Linked DNA regions of Oryctolagus cuniculus. The protein of the gene in region 1 interacts with the protein of each later gene in a pairwise test. Links are inferred from orthologs where the notes say so. Each region holds a gene or a part of one and is shown in the gene's direction. Other genes may lie near its edges.

Region 1 (7,291 bases):
GCTGGGAGACCTGCAAGCGAATACTGCTGCTGAGCAGAGCCAAGGCTGCGTGGGTGTCAGGCCCGGCTCCTGCTGTCCACAGGCCAATGCCCAGCGGCCACACTGCCTTGGTGCCGGGCCCCAGGCCGCAGTCCCTGAGGCCCTTGTGCCATCAGCTTGACCACGCTCGGAGTCTGTGAGCCCCAGCCCACACAGCAGGCCTGTGCCCATCCCCTCCCCGCTCCCCGGTGTGGAAGGCGCTTCCAGCCAGAATCCTCGGGACACGCCGGGGAGAAAGCATCCCTGGGCCACTCTGCAGAGGCAGACAGAGCCCACGAGGAAGCACTGGGGCGGAGGGTGGCTGTGCAGGTGCTGCGTGTCCTGCGGGGGGATGTCTCAGCATCCACGCGCCCCAGTGTGGGCGGCGGTAGCTTGTCACCTGGCTCTGTGTCCCTGGGTGTGCCTCCGCAGCTCTCGGCAGGTTTGTCAGTGTGTGTGTGCTGGGAGTGGGGGAAGAAGGGGTCCTGCAGAGGAGGGCGAGAAGGGCTGGGTGTGTGAACGAGGGGACTCCTGGACACGGAGGTGGCCAGCCTCAGCCCCGACCCCCTTCACGGGGACACGGATGTGTGCCGACTGCCCCGCTGGGAAAGGTGAGGGTGGAAACGTCTGCGGTCACGGGGAGGTAGTGCTGGCAGTGACAGAAGGGCCGGGCCCTGTGCCAGGTGCTCTGTGGATGTGATGTCTCAGCTCCACCCAACAACCCCACGGGCATCTGCACACCCCGCTTCACAGACGAAGAAACCGCCCACGACCTCCATCCTAGGGTCTCGCATGGTCGGTCCCCACCTGCCTCTGGCCCCGTGTCTCTGTGACCCCTCTCCCGCTGTCAGCCTGTTGACCCTGGCCGTGCCGCTCCTCTGCTCGGAGCCTCCCCTGCCTGCCTGGCTGGCTCACACCTGTCCCTGATGTCCTCTTCCCACGTCACTTCCGGAAGCCCTTCCTGACTTCTGAGTGCCCAGCGCAGGCCTCCCGCATCAGGTGGGCTGGGACTGCCCAGTTAGGAGCCCAGCCACAGCAGTCAGCCGAGGACACTGTGGGCTTGCCGGGGCGCAGCAGGAGTCAAACCACACTGTTTCCGAGGCAGCGATGTCAGGAGCGTGGCGTCCCCTGTGTAGCCCCCTCTGCTCCTCTGACTACCCCCACCCCACCCCACCGGCACAGGAGCATGACTGTGCAGGACACTGCTGTTCTTCTCATCGGCCCCTCGGCCGCCCACTGTCCCTACCTCCCAGGCTTCCTTGGGAAAATGGGCCCCATCCACACATGGCCAGAGCAGAGCACAGGTGACTGGGGTTTGGCCAATCAGCACACTCTTCCCCTAGGCTGGGCCTGTCCAATGGGACATGACCTGGAAACGAGGCTAGATGCCCCACGGGCCGGCATGGAGTTCTGCGACACCAACACCCCATATTGGAGACTGGAGCACTGGCTAGAGCCCCGGCTGCTCCAGTTCTGATGCAGCTCCTGGCTAACACACCGGGAGGCAGCAGATGGCCCAGATACCTGGGCCCCTGCCATCCGCGTTGAGACCTGGATGGAGTACCTGGCTCCTGGCTTCAGCCTGGCCCAGCCCTGGCTGTTGTGGCCATTTGGGGATGAGCCAGCAGATGGAAGAGCTCTCTCTCTCTTTCTCCCTCCCTCCCTGCCTGTAACTCTACCTCTCAAATAAATAAATAACATCTTTAAAAAATAAAATGTCCTCTCTTTAGGCTGACACTGGGGCACAGTGGGTAAAGTAGGAACCAACCAGTGGATGGAAGACCTTTCTCTCCATCTCTCTGTAACTCTACCTCTCAGATCCTTAAAAAATTAAAAAGGGAAAAACTTTTTAAAAATAAATCCCATGTGGCCTTGGTATAGATGAAACCTACCTGGGGTGCAGTCATGTCTTGGGCCTGCAGTCACCCTGCACTGACCCCGACTCACCCAGAACAACTTCCGGTCCCGCAAGCCCCATTCGTGGTGAGTGCCCTCCACAGAAGCACTATTTATTCTCGTCTATATTTCACGGTGCTTCCCCACGCTTAGATAGGTTGTGCTACGCAAACACCACCGTTACAAATGCCCACAGGTGTGTGCAGGGCGCAGCAGGTAAGTTCTCACAATGCCAACACCGCCTCCCAGTGTGATTCGCAGAACGCAGCCCTGTCCTGATGGGACCTGGGACTGTCTGAGTCACTTTCCTCTAGTGGCCACCAGGAGGCGGGACCAAGATTTTTCACTTAAACGTTTCTTTACCAAAGTCTCGAACCACAAGAAAATGTGATTCCACCCTTTCCGTTTTTAAACAAGTGGTCAGTTGTGTCAGATGCAACAGAGAGTTCGAGAGGGCAAGGGTCAAAAGGCTGGATTTGACCAGAAAGGGATAACTGATGACTTCTCCAAGACAGAGCCGCTGCTGTGGGAGCAGCAGCACAGTAATTCAGACAAAAAGTAAGAGAATCAGTCTTTTTAACCAGGGGATAGTGAATTGTCTGCAGCGAATAACCTGACTGGATGGAATATTTTTGAAGTATTTAAAGGATACACAGTGCATTAGTCTCTTCTGATATTTTATTCCTGATTCAAATAGGACCACCAGACAGAGTACAGTGGGTCCCTAGAAAATCATGTGTTTCATGTTCCGGCCTCTGTGTGACCTCTGCTTACACTGAGAGCTGACACAGGGCCTCACGCTGCATGGATTTCATCTCTAGAAAGGCCCCTGGGGCCGGCGCTGTGGTTAAGCCGTGGCCTGCAGTGCTGGCATCCCGTATGGACACTGGTTCAAGTCCCAGCTGCTCCACTTCCGATCCAGCTCCCTGCTGAAGCGTCTGGAAAGCAGAAGATGGCACAAGTGCTTGAGCCCCTGCACCTGCGTGCGAGACCTGGAAGAAGCTCCTGGCTCGGCCTGGTCCAGCTCCGGCCATTGCGGCCACAGGGGGAGTGAGCCAGCAGACAGATCTGTCTCTCCCTCTTTCTCTGGTTCTGCCTTTCGAATAAAACAAATAAATCTGTGTAAAAAAAAAAAAATTCCCCTCAAACACTTCCATATCTCAGTAACAGGAAACCCCGTTTCTCAAGAGTACGGTTGGTTGCCTTATTAATGCTCAGTGCAAATCACGTGAGATAATTTGGCTTTGTTATGCTGCCAGGGAAACCAAACAAATTTAGACTTCAACCCCAACTCAGTTGGTTCATACGATCGCTACCTATCTAACTACTAGATATACATATAAAGGTACCGCACGCACTGTGGAAAGCAGAATCAAAAACTTTTTTTAAAAAGAGATTTACTTAGGTGCCTGAAAGGCGTAACTAGAGAGCGGCGAACCGGAGAGAGATCTCACACGTAACGGCTCCCTTCCCAATGGTGGCCACAGCCAGGGCTGTGCCAGGCCGAGCCGGGAACCGGCAACTCCACCCCCGTGTCCGCCGCGGAGGGCAGGGGCCACCTCCCAGGGACCACGCAGCACGGGGGCAGGAAGCCGGATCGGAAGTGGGGCGGCTCGAGCAGGCGCCCCAGCGCGGGCTGCCGGCCGAGGCTGCATTCGTTAAGCCACAACGCTGGCCCTCCCCCCTCAAAAAAGTGTGAAATCCATGCAAAATAAACGACCTTTGAACTCTGCCGAAACGGTCAACCTGGCACTCCGGGACTCCTGACGACCGGGTTCCCTCCCGCTCTCCCCGTCTTCCCATCCGCCGGGCCTGGTGCAGGGCAAACTCGCCCGAATGTCCCAGCTCCACACCGTGGCTCCGCCTGCAGGGCCTTCATTCCTCCACGGAAACAGTCACCGCCGGAGTCTCCACCACAAAGCCGCTTCTTCCTCGCCGCTCTTACCTCCAGCCCTCGCCGCCCTGGCGTCGCAGGGCGGGGCTCGACACTCGACTACGCGAGGAATGGCGTTCCAGTCAGAGTGCTGCCGACTCGCGGACTCCACAGAAGGGCCCGCTGCCTCCTTCCACTCTGTCGCAGCCCGAAACGCCGGAGCCGCGGGACAGAGCCACTGCGGAGGGCAGACGCCGGACCAGCAAACTACCAGCGAGCGCCGGAAGTGTGCGAGAAGACCGGCCGCCGGAAGTCAGCGGCAGCTCCGAGGCCGGACGCTCTAGAATCCCGGAGGACCCAGGTCTCTATGGTTGGACGTGCCTGCTCGCCCTTTCCCGCGAACGATGCTTTCCCAGAGCTCCCAGAACCGAGAAAATGGGGACCCGTTAAGGAAGAGGGGCCCAAGGAGGGGTATTGCGGGAGCCAGTCTCCAAGGTAACAACCCCAGGCCTCTCAGCTCGCCCCGAGTGCCCGGCTGTTCCCCACAATCGCGGGACGAGCCGTGATTGACCGCAGGAGCCGATGGATGGGGACGCGCGCGGGCCGACGTGCAGGGGCGTTGCCTCCTATTCTCGCGGCGCCCGGGGCTGCCGGTGCGCATGCGTGCAGGGGACTGCGCCCGGCGGCCGGCGCACCCCTCCGGAGCGCCGAGCGCCCTCAGGGCGGCGGCTCCCGCCGGCGAGCCGGACCCCGGCGGGCGGAGGTACGGTTTCCTAGGCCGATGCGCCCTGATTGGGCTCAGCAGGTAAAAGGGGTGGGAACCTCCGCAGGGGCCGCTCGCCGATTGGCCGGCGGCGGGAGGGAGCGTGGTCTCGGGAGGCGGGGCGGTGGGGTCCGGGCTGGGCAGCGCGCGGCGCTGAGGAGGTGGCCGCGGGCCTCGGACGGGCGGGAGTGCGGTTCCCGGAGCCCCCTCCTCTAGCCGGGGCCGAGGACGCCGGCGAGCGCTGGGACTTCCAGGATCCCTGAGGAGGCGCCGGTCAGTGAGTGTGGCCCCGAGGAACCCGAGGGCCCCGCCCGCCCTTTCTTCCTGGACTGCGCCGCGCCGCTCCCTCCCCCACCCGCGACCCCGACCCCCACCCGGACCCAGGCCCGGGGCGGCGGCTCCCAGCGTCGGGTGTCTCCAGCGGGCCAGCCGCTCCCATTCGCCAAGTGGCTGGTTTTGGAAACTTGGAAATTTCCCTGGTGCCCCCTCCCCAACCCACAGAAGGGGAAACTGAGACCCCCGGGATGGGGGCTGGGGGTGGGCCCTCTTCATCACCGGCGTCTCCACACAGAGGACCATGGCCGAGCCCCTTAAAGAGGAAGATGGCGAGGATGGCTCTGGGGAGCCCCCCGGGTCGGTGAAGGCTGAACCCGTCCACACCGCCGCCTCGGTCGCCGCCAAGAACCTGGCCCTGCTCAAGGCCCGTTCCTTCGACGTGACCTTCGACGTGGGCGACGAGTACGAGATCATCGAGACGATCGGCAACGGGGCCTACGGGGTGGTGTCATCCGCCCGCCGCCGCCTCACCGGTGCGTCTCCTGGGTCACTGTCCTTGTCAGATTCGGAGTGAGAAACCCTGCCTTAGCCAGCCGGGCTGTGAGGTGTGGTTCCGATCCAGAGATCTCTAGGTGCCCAGGCTCCCAGTGAGGCAGGACTCCTTGCAACTCTGGCCTAGCCGTTTTTTGTTTGGTTTTGTTTTGCCATCCCACCAGGCTGCTGGGCTCTGGGGCCAGAGCCTGGCACCAGGGAGTGGTGGCGGGATGGGCTAGGTCTGGGAGGCTCTCTTGCTAACTGGCTGTGCAGCTTCTCACAGATGACCGCGCCGGGTTCCCTCGTCTGTAACGTTGAGCCGGTAGTACCTACCTCATAGGGTAGCAGCAGTGTGGTTGAAGTGCTTAGTTAGCACCAGGCTCGGTAGCCTGTAGGTGCCCAGTGTGTGGGAGCTGTAGTTGTTTGCATCCTGGAAGTGGCTGCTCTAAGAGACCCTGTGGTGACAGCCTTTGCCCTGCCCCCCAGGCCAGCAGGTAGCCATCAAGAAGATCCCTAATGCTTTCGACGTGGTGACCAATGCCAAACGGACCCTCAGGGAGCTGAAGATCCTCAAACACTTCAAACACGACAACATCATTGCCATCAAGGATATCCTGAGGCCCACGGTGCCCTATGGCGAGTTCAAATCCGTGTAAGCAGCGTGATGGGAGAGGGAGGCACAGTTAGGACTTGTAGCAAGGGCTGGGGCTCCTATCGCTGAAGCTAGGAAAGGCAGCTGGGAAAATTTCCATAATCGCAAGGCCAGTGCTGCCTTAGGGCGTTGCCAGGGCCAGCTGTTACTCCTCAGGAAGAGTAGAGGCCTTACAGTTTCATAGACTCTCAGTGTATAAGCTGGCCAATGTAGAACGTTGATGCTGCTATTGCACCCTCCTACTCCCACAGCAGACATCACTAATTGATCACAGAACCCTTCTCTAGAGAAAACGGGTATGCCTTCACAGTTTTCATCATAGTCCTTCGAGCAGCCCAACAGCAGAGTTAGCCACCAAACTGAACCTTTCGGCCAGCCCTGGTGCAGGCCAGCCCCATCTTGTATGTGGTAAGGAAACTAGGTCTGGAAAGAATCTGGAATTCAGTGCTGTGCCGTCAGGGTCCCAGGGCAAGGCCAGGAGGGCACTGTGAGGATGGTTCTTAGCCCTGGAATACGGAGCCCAGGCCTCTCCCCTGTCCCCCTTCCAGCTACGTGGTCCTAGACCTGATGGAGAGCGACCTGCACCAGATCATCCACTCTTCGCAGCCGCTCACGCTGGAGCACGTGCGCTACTTCCTCTACCAGCTGCTGCGGGGCCTCAAGTACATGCACTCGGCCCAGGTCATCCACCGTGACCTCAAGCCCTCCAACCTGCTGGTGAACGAGAACTGCGAGCTCAAGATCGGGGACTTTGGTATGGCCCGTGGCCTGTGCACGTCTCCCGCCGAGCACCAGTACTTCATGACCGAGTACGTGGCCACCCGCTGGTACCGGGCCCCCGAGCTCATGCTCTCCCTGCACGAGTACACCCAGGCTATCGACCTCTGGTCCGTGGGCTGCATCTTTGGCGAGATGCTGGCCCGGCGCCAGCTCTTCCCAGGCAAAAACTATGTGCATCAGCTACAGCTGATCATGACGGTGCTGGGCACCCCGTCGCCGGCCGTGGTTCAGGCTGTGGGGGCCGAGAGGGTGCGGGCCTATATCCAGAGCCTGCCGCCACGCCAGCCTGTGCCCTGGGAGACCGTGTACCCGGGTGCTGACCGTCAGGCCCTCTCCCTGCTGGGCCGCATGCTGCGTTTCGAGCCCAGTGCCCGCATCTCAGCCGCCGCCGCCCTGCGCCATCCCTTCCTGGCCAAGTACCATGACCCTGATGATGAGCCTGACTGTGCCCCGCCCTTTGACTTTGCCTTTGACCGTGAGGCCCTCACCCGGGAGCGCA
Region 2 (7,251 bases), on another chromosome or scaffold:
GGCCCAAGTGCTTGGGCCCTTGTACCTGCGTTGGAGACCAGGAGGGGCACCTGGCTCTTGGCTTTGGATCGGTGCAGTGCCAGCCGTAGCGGCCATTTGGGGGGGTGAACCAACAGAAGGAAGACCTTTCTCTCTGTCTCTCACTGTCTAACTATCTGTCAAATAAAAAAAAAAAAATGCACCACGGTCCCGGCACTGTGGCACAGTGAGCTAGGCTGCCCCCTGCAACGCCAGCATCCTGTAGCAGAGCAATGACCAGAGCCCAGCTGCTCAGCTTCCCATCCAGCCTCTGCTGATGTCCCTGGAGGGAAGAAGCGGGCAGCCCAAGTGCTCAGGCCTCTGCCACCCGTGGGCAGGGCCCAGATGCAGCTTCAAGCTCCTGGCTTCCGCCTGGACCAGCTCTGGCTGTTGCAACCATTTGGGAAGTGAACCAGTAGATTGAAGTGCACGCTCTCCCTCCCCCTCTCTCTTGCTCTCACTCTCGCTCTATCTGGCTCTCTCTGCCTTTCAAATAAAAAATCATCTTAAAAAATGCAACACAATAGAAATAAGAAATAGATGAGGAGAGAAAGGAGCTAAAATTAAAATTAAACCCCCAGCAATAGTAGCTTCAGACAACGAGGTTGGTTGTGTGTACGCATATGTTTAGTTGCTGACCTAGGCTGTGTACTTCTGTAGGTGTTTGCAAAATACAGTTCCAGGACCCTTTCAGGGACATCTGACCTGTTACATAGCTCACAGCGTCCATGAGATGGACACAGATGACTCAAAGAACGTGTGATTGTTCCTCAGACTTGATGAGGGTCTCCCACAGAAGACTTTTCTAATGTCATGAACAGTATCCCCTAGGGAAAGCTCCCACTTCAGACCACGGCTTTGCACCCATGCAGCTCTGCAGGCCCAGGACAGTACAGTTTATCATGTTTTTCCTTGCTACAAAGCTCAGAATAAAGTTACCTTAGTCCCCAGAGTTAGCATATGGCTTCCTCCTTTCGGTTTCCTATTTTCATGTGTATTTTGCTAGCTCTTGCCATTTTCCTATAAGTCACCTTGGGTCCTTTCTTTTTTTAAAAAAAAAAAACATGAATCAGTTCATTACCAGCCCCTACTCTCCCACCTGTAAGGTTTCTATTTCATTGAATGATTGTCCTGGGGAACCAGTACCAGACAGTCTCTCCCAACTCACCGTCCCCCACTAAATTGTCAGCTGTCCCCCCTCCCCGCTTAGTAGCAGCCCCTACATTAGGCAGATGTCTCATGCAGTATTGTTGAGCTGCAGTGAATGAATGGGAGGCAGTGACCACTCTCCCTTCCTGCCCCAGGCCTACCTCCTCATTGAAGAAGACATCCGAGACCTTGCTGCCAGTGACGACTACAGGTAACCCCAGCATGTCTCCTGCCCCGTTCCCACCCCACTGCCTCCGGGCAGCCCCTGATTGGAGGCTGGGCCTGCCTGCTTCAACTTCCCTCCCAACATGTTCTAGAGGATGCCTGGACCTGAAGCTGGAGGAGCTAAAATCCTTTGTCCTGCCCTCCTGGATGGTCGAGAAGATGCGAAAGTACATGGAGACACTACGGACAGAGAATGAGCATCGCGCCGCCGAAGCCCCCCCGCAGACCTGAGGCCAGGGCCCCTGGCTCGCCAAGGCCCTCTCCCCCTGTGGCTGAGGCCGTCGCTGGGACTGCTCCTGGTTGGACCTCAGCAGCATTAAGCTGTGCCTGGGCTCGTTTGCAGTGGCTCACTGCAGAGCACCCCAGCCTGGCATGTGGTTCTGTATTTGTAAAGTTATTAGGATAAGAAGCAATAAAGTTTTTAATCAACACTGATGGTGAACCCGCTGTGCAGTCTGCCGTGTGGGGCCAACAGAACACCAAGTGGGAAAGAGAACAGGGGCTCCTCGCCGTCCCAGCATAGACCGGCCTTCACAGGCCGAGCTGGGAACAGCACGTGTCTTGCCATCCTTCCCTGCCCCCGTTTGCCCAGCTAAGGTAAAGACGGGGCAGGATGTGAGTGCTAGTCCCGTGGGGGTTCGTGATGCGCCGACACACTGTATGAAAAGGTGTTGGCTCTGTTACTCGGTGGAGAGGCGTGGTAAGCCACGGTGTAGCAGCGCTGCGAGTCAGTCGCCACCTAGGATGCCCACGGCCCTCCGGTGGGGGGAGCGCCTGGGGGTCCTCGCTCCTCCGCCTGGCCGCGGCCCCTGTGGAGTGGAGCACCTGGAGCGCTTGGCCGTGGCACCTGCGGGTCCGGCTCCTCCGCCTGGCCGCGGCCCCTGTGGAGTGGAGCGCCTGCGGGTCCCGGCTCCTCCGCTTGCCGCGGCCCCTATGGAGTGGAGCACCTGGAGCGCTTGGCCGTGGCGCTTGGGGGTCCCGGCTCCTCCGCCTGGCCGCGGCCCCTGTGGAGTGGAGCACCTGGAGCGCTTGGCCATGGCGCCTGGGGGTCCTCGCTCCTCCGCCTGCCGCGGCCCCTGTGGAGTGGAGCGCCTGCGGGTCCCAGCGTCCTGGCACGCACGTGGCAGCGGCCGACGGCTCACATGCCGGGACCCCGGCCACCTGCGTGGGAGACCCCAGTGGAGGTCCTGGGTCCGGCTTCTTCCTGGCCCAGCCCCGGCCGGGCCGGGCCGGGCATCTGGGGCGTGAACCAGAGAGTGAGAACTCCGTCTCTCCTCCTCTGGGAATCGGGAGTCTGCAGTTGGCGGCCCTCCGAGACCCGCCCCGCTGAGGGGCCCGGGCCCCCGGGTCAGGGCGTGGAGCTGAGGCTTCCGGCTCGGGGCGGACGGCCGACACGCCCTGCCGGCCAGAAGGGATCGGGAGGGGCGTGCCGGGCGTTCGCCCTCGGGGGCTCCGTCCCACGTGGGCACTTGCTCGGCCCTTTAATGGTCGGCGTTTTCCAAAGGTCACCAATCCGCTGCGGAGTCGTTAGTTAATGGCAGCCTCTCCTGCCAGTCGGACGTTAGAAACAGCCGCCCCCACCGCCCAATGCCGGTACGCTTGTGGGTGGGCCTAGCAATGACAGAGCGCTTCGCCGCGCCCTATTGGCTGGATCAAACCCAAGCGAGCCTCTGATTGGTCGACGCTGCTCGAGGGTTACAATTCAAACGCGGGCGGGCGGGCCTGCAGCCTGCAGTTGCAGCCGTGTTCTCCTAGTTCCTGCTTCTCTGGCGAGTGCTGCCCGAATGGCCTCTCAAAATCGCGATCCAGCCGCCGCCAGCGTTGCCGCCGCCCGTAAAGGCGCCGAGCCGAGCGGGGGCGCCGCGCGGGGCCCCGTGGGCAAGAGGTGAGTGGTGCGGAGATGACGCTCGGCGGCCCCGGCATGCCCGGGGCATCGGGGCCCGGAGCGCGGACTCCGAGGACCCCCTTCCTCAGCGGGTGGATTTGCGGGGGCCACAGGACGCGCCAGGAACTCGAGGCCGGGCAGCCACGGGCTCTGGGGCCCCGGGTGGAGACTTCCGAGATCCCCCGCCTCCTGCAGCGGGTGAGACCTGGAGCTCGGGCAGCTGTCGGAGACTAACGACCGGGGAAGGGCGAGGGGAGCGTGGGGACCGGGCGGACAGCGGTCGGCGTGGAGCACCTGCCAGACTCATGCTGCGGGAGCCTGGGCTTGGGGAGCGTGAGGACTCGCCAGGGTCACCCTGGGCAGGTGGCCGGGTCTGGCCTTGGGGCTCCCGCGGGAGATAGGGAGGGAGGGGTGCATCACCTGGGCCCCGCCCGCCCGAACTCCCCGCTGACCCTGAATGCTCTTTTTCTAGGCTACAGCAGGAGCTAATGACGCTCATGGTGAGTGCCCGTGCCCAGACCCCCAGCCAGCTGGCCCCCTCCTCACTCCCACCCAACTGTCCATGGCCTGCCCCCTCCACCAGAGCCCCACTTGACACGGGGGCGAAGGCGAGGGTGTCTGTGTTTTCCGGGAAGAAGTCCCTGTCCCCACCTCGCCTTGTCTTCCGGGATTCTGTCCGACGCCGATCCTGGAGTCACCCAGCCCCTGCCCGTGGCGTCCTGGCCCTGCCGAACCTTGGAGTGCGCCTTTCTGTTTCTCTCCAACCCTTGAGCACCCACATTGCCTGTCTGGACTCCTGAGGGGCACCGGACATGGCTGCATAACCCCTCCCCGCCCAGCCTCCCCACCCTCTCTGCGGCAGCCCCGAGGCCACCTGGGGAAAGCCCGTCCCTAGGGAGTGTGACGGGATTAGGGGAAGGTCTCCGAGCTCTGCAATCCAGCAAGTGTTCTTCCTGCCCAGATGTCTGGTGACAAAGGAATCTCTGCCTTCCCTGAGTCAGACAACCTCTTCAAGTGGATAGGGACCATCCACGGGGCAGCCGGCACCGTGAGTATCGGGGTGCTGGGGGGTGGAGGTGACTCCCCGTGCCAGGGCTGCGTCAAGCCTTCAGCTCGGCAAGACAGTCGCCCGAGCCTTGTTCTGCACCTGTGCAGGCTGGGTGTGAACGGTGCTGCCTGTCTTAGATGGCTGGAGGGCTCGGGCAAAAAGGCAATGAGTGGAATAAGGACTTTGGTCAATGGAGTCAGATCAGAGACTCAGGGCAGGGCAGGCACAGCTGCTCTGTGAGAAGCTGCTGCATGGGACACCGGCATCCCTTCAGTGTCGCTTTGAGCCCCAGCTACTCTGCTTCCAGCCCAGCCTCCTGCTACTTCGTACCTGGGAGACACCAGAGGATGGCCCACGTACTTGGGTGCCTGCCACCCACATGGGAGACCCGGATGGAGTTCCAGGATCCTGTGCTCAGCCTGGCCCAGCCCAGGCTGTTGGGGCCATTTGAGGAGTGAACCAGCAAATGGAAGACAACCCCCACACACTTCAGATAAATAAATCTTTTTTTAATATATATTTGAGAGAGTTACAGAGAGAGCGAGAGAAAGAGAGGTCTTCCATCCGCTGGTTTACTTCCCAATTGGCTGCAACAGCTGGAGCTGCGCCAATCCGAAGCCAGGAGCTTCTTCCAGGTCTTCCATATGGGTGCAGGAGCCCAAAGACTTGGGCCATCTTCCACAGCTTTCCTAGGCCACAGCAGAGGGGTGGATCAAAGTGGAGCAGCCGGGACTCAAACCGGCGCCCATATGGGATGCCGGCACTGCATGTGGCAGCTTTACCTGCTACACCACAGCACCAGCCCCCTCAAATTCAATTTTTTGCATGTTAACCTACTTTTTTTTAAGTTTATTTATTTATTTTTTTTTTTGACAGAGTTAGATGGTAAGAGAGACAAAGGTCTTCCTTTCTGTTGGTTCACCCCCCCAAATGGCTGCTACGGCTGGCGCCCTGTGCCGATCTGAGGCCAGGAGCCAGGTGCTTCCTCCTGGTCTCCGACGTGGGTGCAGGGGCCCAAGCACTTGGGCCATCCTCCACTGCCCTCCCAGGCCACAGCAGAGAGCTGGACTGGCAGAGGAGCAACCGGGACTAGAACCCGGTGCCCATATGGGATGCCGGCGCCGCAGGCAGAGGATCAACCAAGTGAGCCACGGTGCCGGCCCCTATTTATGTATTTGAAAGACAGAGTGACAATCTGCGATTCACTGGTTCTCTCCCCCAATGGCTACAACAAGCCAGAGCTGGGCCAGGTCAAAAGCAGGAGCCCAGAAGTGCACCCCACTCCCACGCGGGCAGCAAGGGCGCGTGGCCAGGAAGCTGGGCTGGAAGCGGGGAGCAGCCGCAGCTTGAAAGGCGCTCTGCTGTGGGGCGCAGGTGTCTCGGGGTGTCCAACCCTGCTGCGCCGCGGCACCTGCCCCGGCCCGACACTGCAATTGGGCCAGAGCCCTGGGGGTGCCAGCGCACAGCTCAGCCCCCGGGGCCACTGACGGCCCACCTGACGAAAGCAGGGACCAGTTGAGTGCTTTGTCTGCTGTGCAGGCCCAGGTGGGCGCTCACGTGGGACCCTTGCCCCCACTCTCAATGCCAGGTATATGAAGACCTGAGGTACAAGCTCTCCCTGGAGTTCCCCAGTGGCTACCCTTACAACGCGCCCACGGTGAAGTTCCTCACGCCCTGCTACCACCCCAACGTGGACACGCAGGGGAACATCTGCCTGGACATCCTCAAGGACAAGTGGTCCGCCCTGTATGACGTCAGGACCATCCTGCTGTCCATCCAGAGCCTGCTGGGAGGTAACGTGTGAGCGCACCCCTTCCGTGCCGCCCGGGAGCCGCCGGTGCTGCCGGGCCGCCGCTGACTGCTCTCTCTCCACCCGCAGAGCCCAACATCGATAGCCCTTTGAACACACATGCCGCCGAGCTCTGGAAAAACCCCACAGGTGGGTCCCAGCCCTGCCCAAGGACGCTGGGTTGGGCAGGTGTGGGGTTAATAGAACCTCCTGCTCGCTGGGGTGAGGGAGCGGATATGGGAAATTAACCCCTCCCAGACTTGGTCTCCTGTGCTGTTCCCCAGTCTCCCTAAAAGCAGGGGGGCGGCCACCAGCCTCCCCTGGCACTCCCCTTAGCGTCCCTGACTGCCCTCTCCCACCCTGATGAAAGGCATCCGTGCCCATCTCTCATCATCCACCTGCCCGTTCTCTTCCAGCTTTTAAGAAGTACCTGCAAGAAACCTACTCAAAGCAGGTCTCCAGCCAAGACCCCTGACCCGGGCTGCCCAGCCTCTCCCTGTGCCGTCGCCTTTCCTGGTTCTGCCTTAGAATCTGTCCTGTCCTTGACCTCTACTGGACTGTGTCTTGAGCTGTGGTGTTATTTTTGTTTGTTTTTTAAATTAAGTCTGTTTGAGTTCTTGTGATATATATTAAATAAACACATTTTGGTTGTTTTTGTAGAAGTTGCTGCCTCGCGGTTACCCTGGGTTGGGGGTGCTCGGGGCAGGCACGGTGGGTGGTCTCACATCTGGGCAATTGGCCTGTTCCCCTCTTCAGCGGTGGAAGCAGGTGACAGGCTGTAAGGCCAAGCAGTGGCTTGTTCCCCTGTGGCCTTGGTTTCTCTGTGAAGGAGCGACTACAAGCCCCAGGAATGCTAGTAGGTACTGGAGCTGCCCCAGCTATGCGTGCTGGAGGGGAGGACCACCCACCCACTTCCAACAGAGAAGGCTCCAGTTAGCCAGAGCAGGGCCAGGGTCTGCGGAGGCAGCAAGGGAAAGCCCCTTGCTCTACACCAGGCCCAGTTCCCCAGGGATGGCTCCGCACTCCAAGGGGAGACATCACCTCCTGCCCTGGCCCTGGGACCCCTGGAGGAGACACCTGTGCAGAACTGCAGGGAGGAAAGCAGGCTGGGATGATGGGCCCTGCCTGGGCCTACAG

The links.
Region 2: the proteins of MAPK7 (region 1) and UBE2C interact in binary tests that used the Homo sapiens proteins (3 or more experiments, as listed by UniProt). The two-hybrid records come from large-scale screens. The link is inferred for Oryctolagus cuniculus from reciprocal best matches to the Homo sapiens genes MAPK7 and UBE2C.

What each region holds. Positions count from the first base shown.
Region 1 is NC_091448.1:61,505,318-61,512,608, forward strand, and holds the start of MAPK7 (mitogen-activated protein kinase 7), read left to right. Parts: upstream 1-2,847; 5' UTR 2,848-4,373; coding exon 4,374-4,592; intron 4,593-4,661; exon of another isoform or gene 4,662-4,823; intron 4,824-5,121; coding exon 5,122-5,359; intron 5,360-5,846; coding exon 5,847-6,012; intron 6,013-6,560; coding exon 6,561-7,291. UniProt on the Homo sapiens protein: Plays a role in various cellular processes such as proliferation, differentiation and cell survival. The upstream activator of MAPK7 is the MAPK kinase MAP2K5.
Region 2 is NC_091442.1:13,575,416-13,582,666, reverse strand, and holds UBE2C (ubiquitin-conjugating enzyme E2 C), read left to right. Parts: upstream 1-3,095; 5' UTR 3,096-3,176; coding exon 3,177-3,277; intron 3,278-3,749; coding exon 3,750-3,777; intron 3,778-4,238; coding exon 4,239-4,325; intron 4,326-5,913; coding exon 5,914-6,118; intron 6,119-6,204; coding exon 6,205-6,264; intron 6,265-6,530; coding exon 6,531-6,589; 3' UTR 6,590-6,776; downstream 6,777-7,251. Other genes in the region: DNTTIP1 (deoxynucleotidyltransferase terminal-interacting protein 1), read left to right, coding at 1,323-1,378, 1,485-1,623. UniProt on the Homo sapiens protein: Accepts ubiquitin from the E1 complex and catalyzes its covalent attachment to other proteins. In vitro catalyzes 'Lys-11'- and 'Lys-48'-linked polyubiquitination.